6 linked regions of the Macaca mulatta genome follow. The protein of the gene in region 1 purifies or fractionates together with the protein of each later gene. This does not show direct contact. Links are inferred from orthologs where the notes say so. Each region holds a gene or a part of one and is shown on either strand. Other genes may lie near its edges. The genes, in order: KEAP1, RBX1, IKBKB, GABPA, OTUD1 and TSC22D4.

Region 1 (3,914 bases):
CAGCTCACTGCAACCTACACCTCCCAGGTTCAAATGATTATCTCACCTCAGCGTCCCGAGTAGCTGGGATTACAGGCACCTGCCATCACACCCAGCTAATTTTTGTATTTTTAATAGAGACAAGGTTTTACCATATTGGCCAGGCTGGTCTTAAACTCCTGACCTCAGGTGATCCACCCTCCTCGGCCTCCCAAAGTGCTGGGATTACAGACACGTGCCACTGCGCCTGATGACCCTGTCTCTTTAAAGGAAGAAAAAAAGGGAAAAAAGGGGTATCAGGCCTTTAAGTATTCCACGAAGGTCAGCTATAATGGCCATTGTCCCCATTTTTCTTATGCCCTTGCAGGTATGAGCCAGAGCGGGATGAGTGGCACTTGGTGGCCCCAATGCTGACACGAAGGATCGGGGTGGGCGTGGCCGTCCTCAATCGTCTGCTTTATGCCGTGGGGGGCTTTGACGGGACAAACCGCCTTAATTCAGCTGAGCGTTACTACCCAGAGAGGAACGAGTGGCGAATGATCACAGCAATGAACACCATCCGAAGCGGGGCAGGTGGGTGGGGACGGTAGTGAGGGGAGCATCCAGGAACACCCCCACCATCCTGGGGTGAAACTGAGCCAGGCCTGGGAGAGACCCCCTGTTGCAACCCTCACCCTGAGATAACCACAGAAGCACTGGATTCTGATAGAGTCCAAGCTTCTCTCTCTCCATGCTTCATTTCTGAGGGTGAGAAGGGAGAGGAGAGAGGAAAGGTCTCCCTCAAGGAGGTGATGGCTGGGGCTCCCAAAGCCAGTCCTCCAGAGTCACCTTCTCTGCACGGTGCCCTTTAGGCGTCTGTGTCCTGCACAACTGCATCTATGCTGCCGGGGGCTATGATGGTCAGGACCAGCTGAACAGCGTGGAGCGTTATGACGTGGAAACAGAGACGTGGACTTTCGTAGCCCCCATGAAGCACCGGCGAAGTGCCCTGGGGATCACTGTCCACCAGGGGAGAATCTACGTCCTTGGTGAGGCCCTGGGGGTGGGGAAGAGTCCCGACTAGCCCCATCTCTTGTGGACTGTGGCTGCTTTTGCTTTTTTGCTTTCCTTTTTTTTTTTTTTTTTTTCTTAGAAACAGGGTCTCGCTCTGTCGCCCAGGCTGAGTGCAGTGGTGTGATCACAGCTTGCTGGAGCCTCAACCTCCTGGGCTCCAGCCATCCTCCTGCCTCAGCTTCCCAAGTAGCAGGGACCACACGCACGCACCACCACACCCGGCTAATGTTTGTTTTTTTGAGATGGAGTCTCGCAATGTTGCCCAGGCTGGGGTGCAATGGCATGATCTCAGCTCACTGCAACCTCCGCCTCCTGGAGGTTCAAGCAATTCTCCTGTCTTAGCCTCCTGAGTAGCTGGGACTATAGGTGTGTGCCACCGCACCTGGCTAATTTTTTGTATTTTAGTAGAGATAGGGTTTCACCATGTTAGCCAGGCTGGTCTCGAACTCCTGACCTCGTGATCCACCCACTTCAGCCTTCCAAAGTGCTGGGATTATAGGCGTGAGCCACCGCGCTGGGGCTTTTTCTTTTTTTGAGACAGGAGTCTCGCTCTGTTGCCAGGCTGGAGTGCAATGGCGCGATCTCAGCTCACTGCAACCTCCGCCTCCTGGTTTCAAGCGATTCTCCCCCCTCAGCCTCCCATGTAGCTGATATTACAGGTGCCCACCACTATGCCCTGCTAATTTTTATATTTTAGTAGAGATGGGGTTTCACCATGCTGGTCAGGCTGGTCTTGAACTCCTGACCTCAGGTGATCTGCCCACATCAGCCTCCCAAAGTGCTGGGATTACAGGCGTGAGCCACCACACTCGGCTTAATGTTATTTATGTATTTATTTATTTTTGAAACGGAGTCTGGCTCTGTCGCTCAGGCTGGAGTGCAGTGGCACACTCTCGGCTCACTGCAAGCTCTACCTCCCAGGTTCATGCCATTCTCCTGGCTCAGCCTCCCGAGTAGCTGGGATTATAGGCACCTGCCACCACGCCCGGCTAATTTTTATTTTTTTTTGTATTTTTAGTAGAGATGGGGTTTCACCATGTTAGCCAGGATGGTCTCAATCTCCTGACCTTGTGATCCGCCCACCTCGGCCTCCCAAAGTGCTGGGATTACAGGCGTGAGCCACAGCACCCGGCTGTTTTTATTTATTTTTATTTTATTTTTTTGAGACAGAGTTTTGCTCGTGTTGCCCAGGCTGGAATGCAATGGCGTGATCTCGGCTCACTGCAACCTCTGCCTTCCAGGTTCCAGTGATTCTCCTGTCTCAGCCTCCCTAGTAGCTGGAACTACAGGCACGCACCACCACGCCTGGCTAAATTTTTATGTTTTTTTTTGGTAGAGATGGGATTTCACCATGTTGCCCAGGCTGGTCTCAAATTCCTGGACTCAAGTGATCCACCCACCTCAGTCTCCCAAAGTGCTAGATTTACAGGCTGAGCTACCGCGCCTGGCCTTTTTTTTTTTTTTTTTCTTCAGTAAGAGACTAGAGTTTGCTATGTTGCCCAGGCTGTCCTCGAACTCCTGGCCTCAAGCGATCCTCCCGCCTCAGCCCTGCAAAGTGCTAGGATTATAGGCGTGAGCCACTGCGCCCGGCCTGCTTTTGCATCTCACAGCTGCTTCTCCCTCTTTCTGTCCCCTGCTCTTGGATGTGGTGTGACAGGTGGTGACCGTCCCTTCTGTTCTTCCTGCAGGAGGCTATGATGGTCACACGTTCCTGGACAGTGTGGAGTGTTACGACCCAGATACAGACACCTGGAGCGAGGTGACCCGAATGACATCGGGCCGGAGCGGAGTGGGCGTGGCTGTCACCATGGAGCCCTGCCGGAAGCAGATCGACCAGCAGAACTGTACCTGTTGAGGCACTTTTGTTTCTTGGGCGAAAATACAGTCCAATGGGGAGTATCATTGTTTTTGTACAAAAACCAGGATTAAAAGAAAAAAGACAGCACTGCAAATAACCCATCTTCCGGGAAGGGAGGCCGCGATGCCTCAGTGTTAAAATGACATCTCAAAAAGAAGTCCAAAGCGGGAATCATGTGCCTCTCAGCGGAGCCCCAGGAGTGTCCAAGACAGCCTGGCTGGGAAAGGGGGTGTGGAAAGAGCAGGCTTCCAGGAGAGAGGCCCCCAAACCCTCTGGCCCTGGGTCCCACCCACCCAGCCAGCCACGCCGGCAGCCCTCACCTTGTGATTTGTTCTTGGATACCTGGGAGGGGGCCAATGGGGGCCTCAGGCGGAGGCCCCCTCTGGAAATGTGGTTCCCAGGGATGGGCCTGTACATAGAAGCCACCGGATGGCACTTCCCCACCGGATGGACAGTTATTTTGTTGATAAGTAACCCTGTAATTTTCCAAGGAAAATAAAGAACAGACTAACTAGTGTCTTTCACCCTGGCTCTGGGCTGGAGGTCTGAAACCCGGGGCCAGAAAGGGCTCTTCTCCTGAAACACACTCCTCTTTGACTTAGGGCTGGTATTTGAAACCGTTTTGTAATCTTTGCCCATCGCATTTTGATATGTAGGGCATCTTTCTCCCCATAGGCAAGCCACACAGCTGTCCTTCAGTTTCAGCTGCCTTGGAAGACAAGGAGCTAATTCCTAGTCACATCTCCCAGGGCTCCCCAAGCTCATTTTTTTTTTTTTCCTTTTATTTTGAGACAGAGTTTTGCTCTTGTTGCGCAGGCTGGAGTGCAATAGCGTGATCTCAGCTCACAGCAACCTCTGCCTCCTGGGTTCAAGTGATTCTCCTGCCTCAACCTCCCGAGTAGCTGGGATTACAGGCGTGTGCCACCACATCTGGCTAATTTTGTATTTTTTTTTTTTTTTTGAGACGGAGCCTTGCTCTGTCGCCCAGGCTGGAGTGCAGTGGTCGGATCTCAGCTCACTGCAA
Region 2 (4,240 bases), on another chromosome or scaffold:
TAAAAGGCTTCAAATCACCTGTACGAGATCTAAGAGTGCTCTGGCGGAGTCATACCTCTGCAAGGTTAGAGATGTCAAAGGGAGTCCTGGTCTAGCGAGAAAAGGGAGAGTGACACAAAGTACAGGTGCTTGGGTCGGGCGCGGTGGCGCACTCCTGTGATCCTAGCACTTTGGGAGGTCGAAGTGGGAGGATCGCTTGAGCCGAGGAGTTCGAGACCAGCCTGGGAAACAGAGTGAGACCTTGTCTCTATTTAAAACAAAAAAAAATCGGCTCTAGCCTGTAATTCCAGCACTTTGGGAGGCCGAGGCAGGCGGATCACCTGAGGTCAGGAGTTCGAGACCGGCCTGGCCAACATGGTAAAAACCCGTTTCTACTAAAAATACAAAAGAGCCGGGCGTGGTGGCGGACACCTGTAATCCCAGCTACTAGGGAGGCTGAGGCAGGAGAATCGCTTGGACCCGGGAGGTGGAGGTTGCAGTGAGCCGAAATCGCGCCAGTGCACTCCAGCCTGGGCAACAAGAGCGAAACTCCGTCTCAAAAAAACACCCCAAAAAGAATGCTTCACAAAAATTAAAGAAATACAGCGACTGCAGATGGGTCGGTTTCACTATAGCACAAGTAGCGGAAAGAGGACACAGACTGGGGAGAAATCACCCTACACAAGATGACAACTGAGGAATGAGAAGTGGGGACTGACACACGCCACGGTGAAACCGCGCACCACGACCAAAGGCGGTCCTAGGACTGCGACTAAGCGGGCGCAGAGGCCACCCTCCAGGCTTGGCGGGGGGATGAGGGCAGCACTGGGGGCCTGCTCAGTCTGGCCTTAGGGAGGACCTTCGGGGCTCTCCTCTCTCCCCATCGATCCCTGAGCAGTTCCCGAACAGAAATCGGAGACCAGACGGTGCCTGGGCCCCAGCCCTCCCACGCGGACTGCGCCTTGGGCCTGGCTCGGAGGTGGGTCAGAGTCTGCGAAAGACCAGCGAGGGCTCTCAGGTTTCGGGGCAGGCGGCGGGCGCCCACCCCGGCTAGCAATGGGAGTCGCGCGGCGACCGGGCGAGCCCGGTAGGCAGGACAGGACTGCGGCGCAGGTCCGACTCAGGCGGAGGAAGCAGCCGCCGCCCCAGCTGATGGAGTGCGGCCGGGGGCTTCCCAGAGGAGGCGGCGACCTCGAGCCCTTTCGAACGTTTCTACCAGGCTAGCTCACGTAGCCTCGGCCCCGCCCGGCCCCGCCCCGCCCCACCCACTCCGGCCACCGCCCCCTCCCCGGCCGACACTTCGCGGGTGGGGCGACTTGCGATAGCCCCTTTAAGAGGCGTGGTCACGTGCTCCGCCCCCACCTCCCCCACGCGCGCCAGTAAGGGGTGGGGTGCGGGAGGAGGTGCCGGGGAGGCTGGGGGAACGAGGTGTGCGCTGCTGCGCAGGCGCGGTGGTCGGACGACAGACCGTGTGTTTCCAAAATGGCGGCAGCGATGGATGTGGATACCCCGAGCGGCACCAACAGCGGCGCGGGCAAGAAGCGCTTTGAAGTGAAAAAGGTTGGGTCTCGCCAGCGCCTTCCTCAGGGAAGCTAGAGAGGCGCGGATCTGGCTGGCAGGCCCGAGGATGGTCGAGGCGCGGAGTAAAGGGTTTCATTTTAGGGCGTTCCTGGGACCGGGTACCACGAAAGGAAGTCGGGGGGCGGGCCTTAGAGTTGATCGGCGTGACGGCGGCCCACTGTCAGGGGAAGTGTTGGTTTCGATGTGAGGCTGAGGGGCCAATCACAGAGCTGCTTGTTGAGATACGCGGGGTTGCGACTTGGCGGCGGGAGCCAAGCGCCTGAGCTGTCACTGGAGTGGTTGAGAGGTGGGGGAAGGTAGGGTGGGGTGAGGTAGGGTGGGGTGGGGTGGGGTGGGGTGGGTGGAATGGGGAGTCAGAGCGACTGCGGCGGTGGAGGATGGGGCAGTGCGGCGAAAGCCTGGAACCTGAGGTCCTACCGCATTGGAGGCCTCTGAGGAGCCCCGCTAGTGATCTTGCTCCGCCCCTTTTTGAAGCTTGCTTGGGGTCCTCTCACTTGAAGGGATCAGACTTGTTCCTCGCTGAACCGAGGCCTCCATTAACCCCATCTCTGGGCCTCACACCGCCGAGTTAGAGTCTGGAGTGTAATGCTTGGGTGTTCTGAGACGTCTGTTGGCTTTTCCCACAACCACCCCACTCTTGGATTCTCTGTCACGTTCAGAATCTCCCCCTTCCGAAATAATAATAAAAAGCACGGTGGAACTTGTTAAGAAAATCCGAGCCCAAATCCTGTGGCATTTCGGAAGGGTTGAGTACTAGTTGCGAATGACTTGGTAAGAGGGGAAAGCAAAAATGGAACGTGTCTTTTGCATGAAATGCATTTTAGTGGTTTGCCACAGTTTGGGAGAAAAGTGTCGATTCCCACCTAACATGAAAACTATTCGAAATGGAGATTCTGAAATAGGGAAGATATTCCTGGAACATCTGGCTAAACACTGACAATATCCCCCCCCTCCTAGTGCTTTTTGGTGTCTCATTGTGGCCACTGCTGCTCAGTTACAGCCAGCCATATTGAAGAATAATAGAAGTAGGGGCTTTTCCTCCAAGTTGAAGCTGTGATGTGAAAAGTGGTGAAGAAGTTACTAGGCACTGAGACTGGGGTTTGAAAGCGATGAAGGTTTGGGAGTACTTGTAATTGAGGAAACCAGAGTTGAATGAATGAAATGCCACTTTTAATTAAACTCTTACTGGAATTATTATCTTTTTTTTTTTTTTTTTTTTTTTTTTGAGACGGAGTCTAGCTCTGTTTCCCAGGCTGGAGTGCAGTGGCCGGATCTCAGCTCACTGCAAGCCCCACCTCCCGGGTTCACGCCATTCTCCTGCCTCAGCCTCCCGAGTAGCTGGGAGTACAGGCGCCCGCCACCTCGCCCGGCTAATTTTTTTTGTATTTTAGTAGAGACGGGGTTTCACCGTGTTAGCCAGGATGGTCTCGATCTCCTGAACTCGTGATCCGCCCGTCTCGGCCTCCCAAAGTGCTGGGATTACAGGCTTGAGCCACCGCGCCCGGCCTGGAATTATTATCTTAATAGAAGAGTCTAAACATATAAAAGTTCAGAACATCAGTTTATTTTATGGTAAGAATCGAACAAAATTCTAGTGAATTGTAGAATTTGTTATGAAGTAATCTAAGATTTAAGTGATGACCTTGTTCTGTGTACTGACATGGGCAGTTAATTATCCAGCTTATCCCACGATTACCTGTTTTATGATCCAGTCATCATCTTAGTTCATTCTGTTCCCTAGCTTTCACTTCATTGCTCATGCTTCCAAAGCTGCCTGGAAGAGCAGATACTTATTCAGATTTTGAGCGCTTCTGCAACTGCCACCAAAACCTGCACAGAAATTCAAGTTTGTGCTTTTTTTTTTTTTTTTTTTTTTAGATGGAGTCTCACTCCATCGCCCAGGCTGGAGTGCAGTGGCACGATCTCGGCTCACTGCAACCTCTGTCCCCCAGATTCAAGCGATTCTCCTGCCTTAGCTTCCCAAATAGCTGGCATTATAGACACCCGCCACCAAGCCTGGCTAATTTTTGTATTTTTAGTAAAGACGGGGTTTCGCCATATTGGCCAGGCTGGTCTCGAACTCCTGACTTCAGGTGATCCACCCGCCTCAGCCTTCCAAAATGCTAGGATTATGGGCGTGAGCCACTGCGTCCGGCCAGACTAAATTGTTTTAAACTACAGGAAACAAAAGATGACATTCATTTATGTCTTCATATACTCAGTCTTTTGGAGAATAGGAGAACGTATGTGTTGTCTACTGTTGTCTTTGGTATAATAAGATTAACATAATATCCAAAACCTTTTGTTTGGTGGTTCCTTGTGGCCAGAGATCATAACTACAACTGCAGCCTGAAGTCCTAAAAACTGTGTGTGTGTTATAAGGAGAATGCATTGTTCCCTCTTTTTGTCTTTGCAGTGGAATGCAGTAGCCCTCTGGGCCTGGGATATTGTGGTTGATAACTGTGCCATCTGCAGGAACCACATTATGGATCTTTGTAAGTAATTGGAGGAGGATGGGAGGAAGTTGAGAAGGTTGCAGAGCTTGTGGCTATCTTGATGTGACCGATTTTCTTCTTCACAAGCAGATATCAAGCCTACTCTGAGCACTCGGTCTTCTGTATCTAGTCTTTTGGTGTGTTTGAAATAGAGTAGTTTTTTTATGATGTCCTGGAGGCATACC
Region 3 (4,046 bases), on another chromosome or scaffold:
GGCTCTATCTCAAAAAAAAGAAAAAGAAATGAGGCTGGAGCAGTTGGGTGAGAGGTGGGGTGGTAAGGAGACAGCCCGAAGGGCAGGTGCTATGTGGCTGTCGATCGGTGTGTACATGTGACCTCGGAGCACCAGGAGGTGATTGCAGGTGACACCTGAGGACTGGAGATCCCTCCCATGCAGCAGACAGGGTGGGATTTGGCCTGCAGCTCGCTCTGCTGGTCCCCACTGTGCTGTTTCTGTAGGAAACAGGTGAGCAGATTGCCATCAAGCAGTGCCGGCAGGAGCTCAGCCCCCGGAATCGAGAGCGGTGGTGCCTGGAGATCCAGATCATGAGAAGGTGAGGGCCTTGTGCACCCCAAGGGAAAGCTGGAGCAGCAGCCCCCCGTGTGTCTAGAAAGGAGAGTCTTGCTGGGCACGGTGGCTCACGCCTGTAATCCCAGCACTTTGGGAGGCTGAGGCAGGTGGATCACGAGGTAAGGAGATTGAGACCATCCTGGCTAACACAATGAAACCCCATCTCTACTAAAAATACCAAAAATTAGCCAGGCTTGGTAGTGGGTGCCTGTAGTCTCAGCTACTTGGGTGGCTGAGGCAGGAGAATGATGTGAACCCGGGAGGCGGAGCTTGCAGTGAGCCAGGATCGCGCCACTGCACCCCAGCCTGGGCGACAGAGCGAGACTCCGTCTAATTTAAAAAAAAAAAAAAAAAGAAGAGGAGAGTCTTAAATCTCTGCCCCTCCATCAGGGCGCCAGCCCGACAGTCTCCACGGTGACTCTGCTGCTTCTAAAGATGCCAGAGGAAGAGCAGCTAAAGTCCACACTGGGCCTTGTCGGGGACTTTTCATCAGTTTCATTATATTAAATAAGTTAACACAGTTATCACAGTGACTTTTCCTTTGTCAGCAAAAAAAAAGCCTTCTTTCCTCCTGTATTTCCAGTTCCAAGGTGGTACATGACCGTTCTCTGCTGTCATGCTGCCGCTGACATTTATTCCTCTAGTGTGGAGACTGGGCCGTCCATCTGCCCGGTGGCTGCTGACCCCCTAGCTAGTGAGGTGGGCTCCGAAAGAGCCAGCGAGGAGGACACCAAGCAGGGGCTCCTCTGCCAGCCTCTTAAAAAGAGGAAGTGCCATTTGGTTACATCATGGTTCTATCTGGTTACACATGAGTTCCTTCTCAGATCCCTCTCTGTGTGTCCACCTTGGGGTGATGTGTGTGGGTGAATCAACCTGCCGAAAAATAAACAGAGAAAAGAAAAAAAATACGAGAACAAAAAGAGCAGGCACCACCTTGTTTGCCTGCTTGCATGTGTGACACATCCCCCCCATGTGGAGGGCATGAGATTGGAAGGTCTTCAAAGGAGCAGTTTGGCAGCACGATGAGGACTTGGGATGTAGCACGCACAGAAAATGGAAGTTACACGGAGTGTGCCCTCAGGGTCTGAGTTCTGGTGCTGCGGGTGGGGCTGGGTGCACGCCACTGACCGGGGCATTGCAGTTGGCCACCCGTACTGGGCTCTGTCTTCCTCTGTTTCGAAGCCCTGGGTTATCCTGGGCCTTTGTTGCTGAGACCTGATGGGGGTGATAGGGATGGGTCTGGGCAGGAGTCTGGCTCTGCTCTCATCGGTTTTCCTCCTTCCTAGGCTGACGCACCCCAATGTGGTGGCAGCCCGAGATGTCCCTGAGGGGATGCAGAACTTGGCGCCCAATGACTTGCCCCTGCTGGCCATGGAGTATTGCCAAGGAGGAGATCTCCGGAAGGTGAGGCTCCCGCGGCTGCCAGGCATACAGCCTGTCTGGGCAGGTGGGACACCAGGAAGGGGGATGGGAAGACCTTTCACTTCTGTCATCATCAGGAAGCTTGGGGACCCCCAGCAACTCCAGCAGGGCTGCTTTGCCTCTCAGATCCTCTGTTCCCTGCCCACCTGGGGCTGGTGTGTGTGTAAGTCAGAGGCACTTCCGAGAACACCAGGGAAGGGGGAAGGGCGTGCTGCACACTCTGCTGGGATTATTCCAATGACAAGGAAAACTCATCACAGGTTTGGGCGTGGGGAAGGACTGGGCAAGTTCCAAAACAAATGCTTCCTCCCTGGGCGTGTTAGGGCCACGTTAGGCCTTTGGTGCCAGCGCCACTGCTCTCCTTATTAGGAGGGATCTTATTCCAGAGATGGGACAGCACCACACATGGGGGCAGGGAGCATAGAAGAGAGGGAGTGGGATTCATGATCAGAGAGCTGGGCCAGGGCTGCAGACCTGCCCCAACCCATCCGACCCACCCAACCCACCTGACCCACCTGGACTCATCTGTGGGGCTCTGCTCTCCACCTTCTCACCACACCACCTCCTGTTCCCTAGAGTGTTCACTTCTGGTGGGTGGATGGCAGCCCCTTCTGGTCTCAGGGGCAGTTGGGTGCCCTCCTCCCCGTTGTTCCCTATGATAGTACCACATAGCCTGCTAGTACATGTTACCTCATTCGATTTCCAACAGCTCACACATGAGTGCACAGGTATGGTTCCCACATCACGGGTGGATATCACAGCCCAGAGAGGTTGGGCCTCACACAGCTGTAGCAACAGAGACTGGGTCCCAGTCCACACAGACCTAGCCGCAGGCCACCTCTCCATCTCTAAGACTGAATAAGGCCATATAACATGATAACTGGAAGCTCTGAACAAAATATATTTTTTTTTTGAGACAGAGTCTCGCTCTATTGCCCAGGCTGGAGTGCAGTGGCGTGATCTCGACTCACTGCAGCCTCCGCCTCCTGGGTCCAAGCGATTCTCCTGCCTCAGCCTCCCGAGTAGCTGGGATTATAGGTGCCCGCCCCCATGCCCAGCTAACTTTTGTATTTTTGGTAGAGGCAGGGTTTCGCCATACCAGCCAGGCTGGTCTCGAACTCCTGACCTCAAATGATCACCCACCTCAGCCTCCCAAAGTGCTGGGATTACAGGTGTGAGCCACTGCGCCCAGCCAAAAAAATTTTTATTTTAATTGAAAACGAGGTCGGTTACTCTGCGAGTGCACCTCTTTACTTTGGAAGGGTCACAATAGTGAGGGTGGGAGCCCAGGCGTTTATTCCCTTTCAGTGGCTATTCCCAGACACACTTCAGGTGCTACTCTTACTGTTCCTCCAGGCCCTTGTGCCTCTTAAAAAAAAAACAAAAGCTTTCCACTTTGGGAAGCTGAGACAGGAGGATAGCTTGAGGCCAGGAGTTTGAGACCAGCCTGGGCAACATACCAAGGCCCTATCTCCTCAAAAAATAAAAAACGAAAAATTAGCCAGGTGTGGTAGTGTGCGCTTGTAGTCCCCACTATTTCGGAGGCTGGACTGGGAGGATGGCTTGAGCCTGGGAGGTTGAGGCTACAGGGAGCTATGATTGCGCCACTGCATGCCAGCCTAGGCGACAGAGCAAGACTCAGTCTCATGAAAAAAGATAATCCTGTCTCAGAAGAAATAGACAGATAAATAAAATAAAAGGAAACTTGCCGTGGGCTTGGCCTGCCAGAGTGGCTCTCCCTGGAGATAGGCATGTCCTGGGAGTGGCACTCACAGCAGGATATGAACACAGCCCTTGGCATGACCCACAGTGAGAGATGGGGGAACTTGACAGCACTTTGATTTTTTCCTTATTTTTCTAACCTTTGACAGTCACCCATTACTGACTGCAGCTGTGTAGAGATAAAGCCATGTTGTAGTCAAGTGGAGACTTCCCAGAGGGCAGCCTGGAAGTAGGTGGGATGTGGCCAGATTACAGAGGGCTCTGAAGTGAGGCAGAGGCTTTTAGACTTGGTCTTTTAGGTGGCAAAGAGCCAATGAGCCAGAGAAGAAGAGATGGAAAGTTTAACATGACTGACCTGGCGTGGGTTGCAGGATGATTGAGGGGGAGGCAGGAAGGACTCGCATCCTAAGGAACCCCTATCCTTGCTGTCACCCAGTGGGGTTAGGGGAGGACACTGTTGCCCACTGTCTTGTTGTCTGTTGTTTCCTTTGTTCCCTCTAAAAAGTTCAAATCTATAATACATCCGTGGGCAAGGAGAGGCAGGC
Region 4 (3,500 bases), on another chromosome or scaffold:
TTTTGTGGAGACAGTCTGGCTATATAGCCCAGGCTGGTCTCAAACTCTTGGCCTCAAGAAACCCTCCTACCTCAGCCTCTCAATGTGCTGGGATTACAGGCATGAGCCACCACACCTGGCCTGAAATTCTTTTAATGAAAGAGTCAATGCCTCATTTTATCAGCATATAGTTATCAAATCCTTCAGAACTTCACATTAATTAGCTTTAAAGTTATTTACTCTTATTTTTTTTTTCGAGATGGAGTCTCACTGTGTTGCCCGGGCTAGAATGCAGTGGTGCAATTTCAGCTCACTGCAACCTCTGCCTCCCAGGTTCAAGAGATTCTCATGCCTCAGCCTCCCAAGCAGCTGGGATTACAGGCATGCGCCACCACGCCCAGCTAATTTTTATATTTTGAGTAGAAACAGGGTTTCACCATGTTGGCCAGGCTCGTCTCAAACTCCTGGCCTCAAGTGACCCACCCGCCTCAGCCTCCCAAAGTGCTGGGATTACAGGCGTGAACCACCACACCCGGCCTGAAGTGATTAATTCTTAAATGTGAAAAGATGGGCAAAAATAATTAGATATTTGAGAGAGGTTAAAAACACCACAAACAAAAACCACAAGAAAAGCAGAATCCACAAGAAACAGAAATACTGCAGTAAAGCTTTTTAAAAGTTAAAACTATAATCAATATACTCAAAGAAGTAGGAGAAAACATGACATTGGCAATATAAGATCAGAATGCTACAGAAAGGCACAAACAAAAACGAAGAGCCCTTGTAAATTAAAAATCAGATAGGTTATATTATAAAGACAAGAAAATCTGGCAGAAAGTAGTGCAGATAGGAAAGACGAAAAATAAACAAGAAAAAAGATGCAGCAGATCAACTCAAGAGATTCAACAGGAGTTCCGAAAAAAGAACACAGAAGTATTTATCAAAAGAATGCAGTAAGAACATCCAGAACTAAAGGTGACAATTATCAAGATCAGGGCTGTCCAACAGAAATATAATGCAGACCATTATGTAATTTTTAATTTTCTAATAGTTACATTTAAAAAGTTGGCAAAATACATCTTTTTTTTTTCATTAAACTCACTATTTATTTATTATTTTTATTATACTTTAAATTCTAGGGTACATGTGCATAACGTGCAGGTTTGTTACATATGTATACTTGTGCCATGTTGGCGTGCTGCACCCATCAACTTGTCAGCAATAATGAATTTATTTTAACTTAATGTTCCAAATGTTATTTCAACCAGTAATCAATATAAAAAAATTTAAAAAGATTTTACATTCTTTCTTTTAATGGGTATTTTACATTCATAACACATCTTAATTTTGACCAGGGACACTTCAAGTGCTCACACGTGATGAGTGGCTACAGTCCTGGGCAGTAGAGGGACAGACTGAAATTCTACACTAGCTGTCTGGTTCCGTAGCTCTCTTTCAGTTCCATGGGTAAGCTCTATCATTTATTGTGTATCTTTTAGGTTTGGTTTAAAGAAAGAAAAAAATGTCTTAGGGAAAACAGCAGTTCTATAACACAGCCTTTCTGTCATCAGCACTGCTCCCCAGGTACAACCTTGTCTCTAAAAATAAAAAATAAAAAAAGGACAAAAAACCCGACAATACTGTTTCATTTACAAATACACTGAGGTCCCCACCAACTCTTGGATGATCAATAGTATTTATTTGTTACCCCAGCATTCTTCCTCATCCGCCCCCACTTCTAAGATGTCTATTTCTTATAATACTGTTTTGTCTCACCAACTCTAGTTACTTTTGTCTAAATTTAAGAATGATCCTCTGATCATCACATTTAAGAGATATAGTGAGCATTCTTTGACTTTCTCGGCAGCATCTGAGAGTCTTGACCATCCAAACTCTCCCCTCAATTTCAGTGACACTATACATATAAGTTATTTCTTTCTTTCTGTCTCTTCAGTTATTTCTTGTCTCCCTTTTCTCCAACCCTAAATGTTTATAGGGTCTAGGATATATGCTTTAGTTGTGTGTTCTTTTCCATTCCTTGCTTCCATCAGGGACTACGTAGACTTTTATAGCTTCAAATACAAATTCAATGTGAATGAGTCTCATATAACATCTTTGTCTCCAGCCCAAATCTTATATAACTGAAACCATTTTCTGGCTACCTGCAGCTGAATATAAACTTTCACCTCAAAATCAAGTGCTATCCACCTTCTCTTGAAAAAAGCATTTCCTATACCAGACTTCTCTACTTCCCCAACTGGGCTATTGAAGGCATGCTCTTTCTAGTGCACCATCTTAATTAAGCCCAGCATTTAACATGGTGCCTGGCATATAGTAGTGTTCACTAAACATGCAATGATGATGGAACCAATTTTTATCAAGATTATTACTGTTTTAGTCACCAAGATGAAGCTTGAGAAGTTAGATCAATACTTGTATCTTCTCTCTCTACTCTCATAAAATCTGTCAATCTGCTCAGTCCTATTACTATTTTCATCTACTTTTTCCTTTCTACTCCCAAAGAAATCACCTATCATCTAGCCACAATTATAATATGCTCCTGTTTTCCCTTCACTCAGTCTCTACCTGTTCCAACTGACACCATATACCACCACCATATTCATTTTCCAATTATTTTCATCAATCAAAACAGTTCTGTAATGCTACAGAGTAACTCCTTAACCACTCAATTTTCTCACTACTCACGCATACCCCCAGGTCTAAGCTTTGCACATAACACTTCCTGTCTTAAATATCTTTCTCTGCCCAATAGTATCTTATTTATAATAAACCTTATTTATAATAAACCCTTTTCACCTTTCCCTCAGGGCAACTAGGATCCCTTTGAGATTCCAATAGCATGCTGCTTCTATAAGAGTTACTGACAGTTTAAAAACATGTTACCTTTTACAGCAATTATCACTTTTCATCTATCTTCTCTCTCTTCAACTACACTCTCAACACCCTAAGAGCAGAAATTTTTTAGACTTCTTTGTACTTCCGGCACGCAGGACTGAATTTGTCCACCATATGAGCTTAAATGTATATTACAATTAAAAAAGAGAGATAAGAAAATCAACATTCATTCTAATAACTCTACATGTAAAATAGATTATAACTTACCCTAGTGTCTTCTATGTCAAGCTTAATTCCTACTGTTCTACCCAATATAGAATTACGTATTTCATTACCATAGGGTATCCCAAGGCGTTCTTGTTCTTTCCTATAGCCTTCCAGTGCAGCAGCCCATCTTGTCACTTGTTCTGAAGTTTCATCTGAAATGGTTGTGATGTGTTTTGTGCCATCAAGAGTTATCACTTGAGCTTCTTCAACAAGATGTGCTTCTGATTCAGCATGGTGGGCATCTGGATCAATAACAACCTCAACAGTGTCCGCAGGTTTAACAATTTCAAGGATGTTTAACTTTGGTTCAATTCCTTAACAGTGGATAAAAAAAATTATGAATCTAAATGAAAACACAGAAGTCACCAAAACATAATTTAGGGTATATGTTCCAAAAT
Region 5 (3,953 bases), on another chromosome or scaffold:
ATGTAAAAGAAATATTAAGACAGTGTTCTCCTGCTCTAACTGCCAAGGGTGGCTCCAGACATTTATGCCATTAGTTTATAAATCTCTTAGTTGGATCCAAGAAGTTAAAGCAGGAGGCTTATCTTGTCACAGAGTTTTATACCATATTAACATTCTCTTTATAACAAAATAACAAATGTCAATAAAAACAATTGAGAGCACCAGACGATCTACTCTACATATCAACCAGGGTACAGAATAACCATTCTGCCATCAGCAAATATCAGACTTTCATTCAAGTAAGACCTGGTACTATCCCTTAAAACAGGAAAAAAAAGAAAAAAAACACCTTCCCACAACCTTCCATTAGATAATTTTCTTTAAAAGATTCACCATTTCTAGAAAAATAATGATTTCCAAAACAACAGCTCTGTTTCATCAAAATGGAATGGGCCAAACATCTGGTAACAAGAATGTTTCAATATCCATTTGAAATAATTATCTAAGAATTGTGAAATTCAAATTTCAACAACATAAAATAACTACCAAATCACAAATTCTGTTCAAAATAATACATTTCATATAAAGCACTTCTCTGGATTTATGCCTGAACACATCATAGATGAAGGTACACCAGTTTTTAAAAATGTTGTGCAAAAATACATTTTTATAGAAAATAGACTACCAGGAATGAACAAATTTACACTGTGAGAAATCAGCTTGCAAATTAAGTAGTGCTCACTTTATACAGCAAATTATAAATAGCAATAAAATCACCCAAAGCTATCATGAAACATCATTTAGGTGGCCCAGCAACCTTCAGCTCCGAGAAAACATTCAAAAAGATGATTAAGGCATTACACCTACAATAAAATCTACTAGCAAGTTTGAAAGTGCTATTACCCTGATTAGAGTTCATGTGATTCTCCAAACACAAGTTATGTATGCAATTATTCCCAGGGTGTAAGGTTTTGAGACATTTCAAGAGCATGCATTTTGTTCAATATACATTTTGGATAGGGATATGGCCATAGATTTGGCAAGTTCTTCGTCGCGTTTCCTTTGCACTTGAGTTTGTTTGCACCAGTTGTCGTACTCTGGGTTAGGATAGGAGTGATCAAATACAGCATCATAGTGTCCGTTACTGAGCCAACTGAGCCAAATACTAGGCCTCAGGGAATCCTCTGGGCCCAAATAATGAATCATAGTAGACACCGTGGGGCTCTCCAGCCTCCCTCCAGTAGTTAAGTGGATATTCACATTCAGCATCTGCCCCATGGCCAGCAATTCCGGGTACCCAGCCCATGCCCCGTCTTGGGCAGCAGCGATGATAAACTCCCCCACGTCGCCCTCAATCAGGGGGCTGAAGTGGTCGAGATGGTCGGCGATATAGTGCACCGTCTGCTCCCTCAGCTCCCGGTGCAGGCTCTGGTCCCCATACACCGTCTTGCTGACAGCTCGGTAGAGGCAGTTGCCGTCGGGAATGATGTGGAATCGGTACTTATTCCTCTGCCGCAAGTACTTGTCCTGCTTCTCCACCTCGGCCAGGTACAGGGCCAGCTTCTCGTCTCTGGGATCTGACCTGGAGACGATCACCGGCTCCGCCGCGCTGCTCGGGGCGGTCTCGATGCTCCGGGCTGGGGGTGCCTCGGCCTCTGGGTCGGGCCTCCGCGCCGCGTCCCCACCGGGAGCGTCGCAGCGGTCGCCGCCCCTCTCCCAGCCCCTAGGGCCCCTTTCCACCAAATGCTCTTCGCCCCACGGACCGGGGTCGGGGCTCCCCGGGGTCGGCGCGGGGCCTCGGTGCTTGGCGGCGGCCAAGGCCTGGCGGTGCTCGCTCAGTCGGAAGTTCCGATCGGGCCCCTCCCGTGTCGCGTCCAAGCCCGCGGACTCGGGGCAGTCGGGCCGCAGCAGCTCCTCCAGGAGCCAGGCCGAGGAGCCCCGCCGCGGCGGGACCGGGGCTGCGGGCGCTGGGGCCAGCAGGAGGCAGCGGCCGCGCGGGGCAGCGGCGGAGCCCGCGGTGCCGGGAGCGGGCTCGGGCCCGTGCAGCAGGAGCCTGTCGGCGCCCAGGGCCCGCACGGTGATCTGCGCGGTGGACGTGTAGTGCGGCGGCAGCGGCGGCTTGCAGGACGCGCCAGGCGGGCCGGCGGCGGCAGAGGCGGGCGCGGCGGCCCCGGACACCACCTCGAAGCAGGAGGAGAAGGCGGGCATCTTGGCGGCGGGGACAGCGGCGGCTTCACGGTGCTCGGCGGCCGCGGCGGGCTGGCACTCACCGGTCTCGGGCTCGGGCGCGGCGCCGGCGGCTCCCGGGGGCTGCAGCGAGACCTTGAAGGTGGGGGCGGCGGCGGCGGGTGGCGCGGGGGCGGCGGCCGTGGGACCCGGTGACCCGGAGGGGTAGTGGGTGCAGACGCTGCTGTAGAGCTGCATGTCCCTGCCCGCCGCTCGGCCCCTTATAGGCGCGGCGAGCCCCGGAGCGGGGGACACACCCTCCGGGCCCGGGGGAGGGGGCCGGCGGAGCGCGGTGACCCAACGGCCCCAGAATAGAGATGAGCGCAAGGCCGCTGGCCGCCGCGCGTCAGCAGCCGCGAATAGCGCCCGGGTCCCGGCCAAATTCCTGCTGCGCCACAGCGTGGGGGGGGCGGGGACGGGACGCGAGCTCGACTCCTGCCGGTGCGCTCAGCCCGCAGACCCGGGGCGTCGCGCCCGCTGCAGCTGCTCCGGCCTGCGGCGGCCGCTGGGGACTCACGGAGGAAGCCGCCCGCCTCGTTGGAGCGCGTCCTGCCGGCGAGGAGGAGCGCGGTGCGCGCGGAGGCCCGGGAGGCGGGGCCGCGGTTGTTTACCTCAGGCCTCGCGGCCGCGTCACGTGGACTCGCTGGAATGCGCGGCTTGTCTCGGCGCCCGATTCAGCCGCGTCGGCTCGCCCCGCCCACTCCGGCCCGCGCCCCGCCCCCTGCTCCGCTCCGCCGACGTCACGGGCGTGGCCCTCGTCGCGCGCGCGGGCGGGGCGAGGCCGGGGGCTCGGAGGCCTGAGCAGTCCGGGAATTCCTGGCTGGGCCTCCCGCCCACGTGACTCCCGCAGACCGCTTCCCCGACCTGGGCACGGGTTTCTGCGCTGCACCACTCTCCGCAGCGGCTGCAGTGGGTGCTGCGGGATGGGCGCTTCTTGGAGCGAGTTAGCATGCTCGGAAAGCTTGCTTGGCAGGAAAGCTTCTGGCATGGGTGTGGAGAACAGAATGCTGTTTGGCCTCTGCATGGTCATGGGCTACCATCCCTCCTTGCATCCACTACTGCCTCTTTTATCTTTTTAGAGATGAGGGTCTCACCTATCTCCAAAGCTGGAGTGTAGTGGCGCAGTCCATAGCTCACTGAAGCTTTGACCTCCCGGACTCAAGCGATCCGCCCACCTCAACCCAGGTGTGCACCACCGCCCCCGGCTAATTTTTTTTTTTTTTTTTTAAGGCGAGGGTCTCACTATTACAGTTGCCCAGTCTGGTATCGAACTACTGGCCTCAAGTTGTTTCCCGCCTTGACCTCCCAAAGTGTTGGGATTACAGGCCCTAGCCACCAATCCTGGCACCACGAGTCTTTTCCTCTTTTTTTTTTTTTTTCTTTTCCTTTTTAAGGCAAGGTCTTGCTCTGCCTTCCAGGCTGACTGCAGTGGCGCCATCATGCCCCACTGCGACCTCCACCTCCGAGGTCCAAGCGATCCCCCTTCCTCAGCCTTGCCTTGGGCAGGGATTACAGGTGCCCAGCTAGTTTTACCACTGCGTCTTTTCTATGCACTTCCTTGGACCCACCTGTTAAGGGTGAGTCCTCTAGTGGATTCTCCTGCCCTGCGAAGACAAAACCAACTTTTCTGCACCTCTGACCTATGTCACTTGGCAAATACCTGCTTGGGCGAAAGCAAGGAAGCCTTTTAGCCCTTTATAAACAGCCTTTCTCAGAATACCAAATGCAGTATCACCTAGGGCCTTTTG
Region 6 (3,522 bases), on another chromosome or scaffold:
CTTCCTCTGAGACCCCAGACCCAGGTCCCAGGCCCATAGGCGGTTTTTTTTTTTTTTTTTGAGACGGAGTCTCGCTCTGTCGCCCAGGCTGGAGTGCAGCGGCCGGATCTCAGCTCACTGCAAGCTCCGCCTCCCGGGTTCACGCCATTCTCCTGCCTCAGCCTCCTGAGTAGCTGGGACTACAGGCGCCCACAACCTCGCCCGGCTAGTTTTTTGTATTTTTTAGTAGAGACGGGGTTTCACCGTGTTAGCCAGGATGGTCTCAATCTCCTGACCTCGTGATCCGGCGGTATTTTTTTTTTAAGACAGAGTTTTGCTCTTGTTGCCCCGGCTGGAGTGCAGTGGCCTGATCTCGGCTCACTGCAGTCTCCACCTCCCAGGTTCAAGCGATTCTCCTGCCTCAGCCTCCTGAGTAGCTGGGATTACAGGCACCTGCCACCACGCCTGGCTAATTTTTTGTACTTCTAGTAGAGCCAGGGTTTCACCATGTTGGCCAGGCTGGTCTCGAACTTCTGACCTCAGGAGATCCGCCTGCCTCAGCCTCCCAAAGTGCTGGGATTACGGGCATGTGCCACCATGCCTGTTCCTTTTTTTGTTTGTTTTTTTGAGACAGGATCTCACTCTGTCTTCCAGGCTGGAGTGTAGTAGCACGATCTTAGCTCACTGCAACCTCTACCTCCCGGGTTCAAGCAATTCTCCTGCCTCAGCCTCCTGAGTAGCTGGGATTACTGGCACCCTCCACCATGCCTGGCTAATTTTTGTATTTTCAGTAGAGATGGGGTTTCACCGTGTTAGCCAGGCTGGTCTCGAACTCCTGACCTCAAATGATCCACCCACCTCAGCCTCCCAAAGTGCTGGGATTACAGGTGTGAGCCACCGCACCTGGCCTTTAGGCTGTATTCGTCTTCTAGGGCTCTGGGCTCAGTTTCTGTTGCCATGGTAACCTTTCCCATTTTTGGTCTTCTCTGGAAAGTCAGGGACCCTCTGGCCAGGTCCCGGGGTCACCCATGATGTGAGCCTTGTGGGGTTTTTTGGTAGTAGAGCACTCATGATCTATGGAAGACCACGAGTACGTCAGAACGCCCCCTACCCCAGCCACCTCCACCCTCTTTCCCAAGGCCTTGAGGGACAGAGGGGACAGGATGGGGTCAGAGGTGGGGAGGGGCCTCCGAGGGCCAGGCCCTTCGTCTCCCTTCACACCCTTCACTCCCCTCTCAGACCCAGGCTTCTGCCCCACGCCCCTCCCCTGGCCCAGCCACCAGCTGACTTCCTCGGCCGGCCCCCTCCCCTCCACTCTGGGATTGGTGCCAGGGTGAGAAGGGGACACTGGCACTGACCGTGTCTGGGAATTCCCGCCCACCGAGGAGCCGAGGGGAGGGGGGGTCCCCGTGTCCCCAAGGAGCCAATAGCAGCCAGGCCTTGCCCTTGGGGGGGGTGGTGTATATCTTTCAGGCCAGCACCCCCGAGGCACTGTCTCCTCTCTGCCTGCCTGGCACCAGCCAGACCCCGCTCTGCCCGGGGGGCTCTGAGCCCCCCAGGCATTCCCTTCACTGCATCCTTCTCCGTTGGGGGGGCGTCTAAGGACCCTTTCCCCTTGGGCATGGCCCAGCCAGGGATCTCTGTCAAGTCCCTGGTGTCATCTTATGAGACCCGAGTGGTGGGGATGGCTCCGGGGCTGCCCCGAAAAAGGGACTGTGCCTCTTCCCCTTGCTCTCCCCGGGGTGCGTCCCCCATACGAGGGACATCTGGGCCCCCGCCCCACCGGGGCCTGGGAGGCCCTGGGCAGCGGCCCTCAGCCCGCAGGGGGATGGACAAAACCCTCCTCTCCCTCATTCTCTACTGTCACAGGTATAGGGGGGTGTGGGCGGGAGGCTGTGGTCCAAGAAACCAGCACCTGGGAAGGCTCCTCCTCTCCTCCCCTCACCTTCCTGTGTCTCTCCAGTGGCTCCGGAAGCCTGGTTGGCATTGACAACAAAATCGAGCAAGCCATGGTAAGAGAAGCCATCTTGGTCCCAGGAGGTCCCGGCCCCCTTAAGCCATCCCTCCGCCCCAGCCCTGTCTTCTTCCTTACCAGGGAACACCAACTCCCAGTTCCTCCATCCCTCTCCCTGCTGGGCTCCTGGGCATCCTCTGCCCCCTCCTACCGCCACCTGCACCCTTGACTTTGCCCAGCCTCTGGTCTGGCTGCTGGTCCCCATCTCTGTCTTTGAGCTCTGACTCTGCCTCTGTCCCTCGTCCTTTTCCCCTGTCCCTTCCCTGCTTTGTCTCTCATCCTCTGGACACGGGACTCTCTCCCATCCCGGCCCTTGAGGCACTGGGCAGGGGATGAGGCACCCACTCCGTTGACACTGTGCCTGTCCCCGGGGCCCCCAGGATTTGGTGAAGTCCCACCTCATGTTTGCGGTCCGGGAGGAGGTGGAGGTACTGAAGGAGCAGATCCGGGAACTGGCAGAGCGGAACGCTGCGCTGGAGCAGGAGAATGGGCTGCTGCGCGCCCTGGCCAGCCCGGAGCAGCTGGCTCAGCTGCCCTCCTCGGGGGTCCCACGGCTTGGGCCCTCCGCGCCCAATGGGCCCTCCGTCTGAGCCTCCCTTCCCTTACAATGTGCCTTTGGGGCTGCCCGGCCTTTTGTCAGCCGCCTGCCCCCTCTTCCTATGCAGCTTTAATGTCCCCATGTCCCCAGGGTGGGAGTTCAAGGCTCAGTAACGGCCTGGTCCCCCGGCCCCTGCCCCATCTCCTCATCATCCCCAGCCTTGATGGAGGAGGGAGGACTTCAGGACGGGGCATCAGAGGGAGCCCCCTCTGGGAGGGAACCAACCTCCACCCTCCCTCATGGGACCCCCAGCAGTCGACGGCCTGGGGGAGTTGGAGGCTCCCTGGCAGACACCCCACCCCCACCTTGTTCCCTTGAGGTGCATCCTCTCCTCTGCCCAGGGGAGGGAGTGTGGACAGTATCTGGAAGTTCTGGGATTCAGGTTGTTATTAAAATAATAATAATAATTAAAAATTCTGAAGAAACTTGAATTTGGAGGTTGACATCTCGTTCGTTGCTTGTGTTCAGACTCAGGGGTCGCGCCTGCCATTTGGGGCTTCCCTGAGATCTTTTGCAGACTGGGGAGGTTTAAAGCGTGGGAGATGGAGGGGTTGAGACAGAGACTGGAGAAGGGAGCCAGCGGTTCGGGTCCTGGGAAGGGGCAGGCGAGGATTGGGGGTGGGGGGGCGTCTGCCCACGTGCTGGGCGGGGGGACCAGGAAACAATGAGGTCTTTGGTGGCTGCCCAAGATCCACCCCCAGCTTCCCAGTGTGTCCCCTCTGCGGGCTGGATCCGGGTGGCTGCTTGGGGGCGGGGCGGGGGGCCCTGAATGGGCCCCTTGTCTCTGGGCTGGGTGTGGGCCAGACTCCCTGGGCACACGGTGCCCTTGCCAGGCCTGGCCGGCCGCCGTGGCTCCCACCCCCGGCCAGCTGAGGACGGGCCCTGTGGGTGAGATGGCCCCTCCCTGGCAGCCTGGGCTCCAGTCCCAGGC

What was found.
Region 2: the proteins of KEAP1 (region 1) and RBX1 purify together in Homo sapiens (affinity purification with western blotting; 6 studies listed by BioGRID). This does not show direct contact. The link is inferred for Macaca mulatta from reciprocal best matches to the Homo sapiens genes KEAP1 and RBX1.
Region 3: the proteins of KEAP1 (region 1) and IKBKB purify together in Homo sapiens (affinity purification with western blotting; 7 studies listed by BioGRID and IntAct, with this or other methods). This does not show direct contact. The link is inferred for Macaca mulatta from reciprocal best matches to the Homo sapiens genes KEAP1 and IKBKB.
Region 4: the proteins of KEAP1 (region 1) and GABPA purify together in Homo sapiens (affinity purification with western blotting; 3 studies listed by BioGRID). This does not show direct contact. The link is inferred for Macaca mulatta from reciprocal best matches to the Homo sapiens genes KEAP1 and GABPA.
Region 5: the proteins of KEAP1 (region 1) and OTUD1 purify together in Homo sapiens (affinity purification with western blotting; 3 studies listed by BioGRID, with this or other methods). This does not show direct contact. The link is inferred for Macaca mulatta from reciprocal best matches to the Homo sapiens genes KEAP1 and OTUD1.
Region 6: the proteins of KEAP1 (region 1) and TSC22D4 purify together in Homo sapiens (affinity purification with mass spectrometry; 4 studies listed by BioGRID and IntAct, counting the BioPlex papers as one, with this or other methods). This does not show direct contact. The link is inferred for Macaca mulatta from reciprocal best matches to the Homo sapiens genes KEAP1 and TSC22D4.

The regions. Positions count from the first base shown.
Region 1 is NC_133424.1:11,213,280-11,217,193, reverse strand, and holds the end of KEAP1 (kelch-like ECH-associated protein 1), read left to right. Parts: intron 1-346; coding exon 347-552; intron 553-830; coding exon 831-1,007; intron 1,008-2,720; coding exon 2,721-2,887; 3' UTR 2,888-3,414; downstream 3,415-3,914. UniProt on the Homo sapiens protein: Substrate-specific adapter of a BCR (BTB-CUL3-RBX1) E3 ubiquitin ligase complex that regulates the response to oxidative stress by targeting NFE2L2/NRF2 for ubiquitination.
Region 2 is NC_133415.1:10,578,625-10,582,864, reverse strand, and holds the start of RBX1 (E3 ubiquitin-protein ligase RBX1), read left to right. Parts: upstream 1-1,440; 5' UTR 1,441-1,461; coding exon 1,462-1,539; intron 1,540-3,976; coding exon 3,977-4,055; intron 4,056-4,240. UniProt on the Homo sapiens protein: E3 ubiquitin ligase component of multiple cullin-RING-based E3 ubiquitin-protein ligase (CRLs) complexes which mediate the ubiquitination and subsequent proteasomal degradation of target proteins, including proteins involved in cell cycle progression, signal transduction, transcription and transcription-coupled nucleotide excision repair.
Region 3 is NC_133413.1:44,370,619-44,374,664, forward strand, and holds the start of IKBKB (inhibitor of nuclear factor kappa-B kinase subunit beta), read left to right. Parts: upstream 1-1,246; 5' UTR 1,247-1,410; coding exon 1,411-1,439; intron 1,440-1,643; coding exon 1,644-1,761; intron 1,762-4,046.
Region 4 is NC_133408.1:21,748,940-21,752,439, forward strand, and holds part of GABPA (GA-binding protein alpha chain), read right to left. Parts: intron 3,417-3,500; coding exon 3,171-3,416; intron 1-3,170.
Region 5 is NC_133414.1:24,895,283-24,899,235, reverse strand, and holds the start of OTUD1 (OTU domain-containing protein 1), read right to left. Parts: upstream 2,801-3,953; 5' UTR 2,404-2,800; coding exon 961-2,403; 3' UTR 1-960. UniProt on the Homo sapiens protein: Deubiquitinating enzyme that specifically hydrolyzes 'Lys-63'-linked polyubiquitin to monoubiquitin.
Region 6 is NC_133408.1:47,666,715-47,670,236, reverse strand, and holds the end of TSC22D4 (TSC22 domain family protein 4), read left to right. Parts: intron 1-1,942; coding exon 1,943-1,991; intron 1,992-2,373; coding exon 2,374-2,583; 3' UTR 2,584-3,022; downstream 3,023-3,522.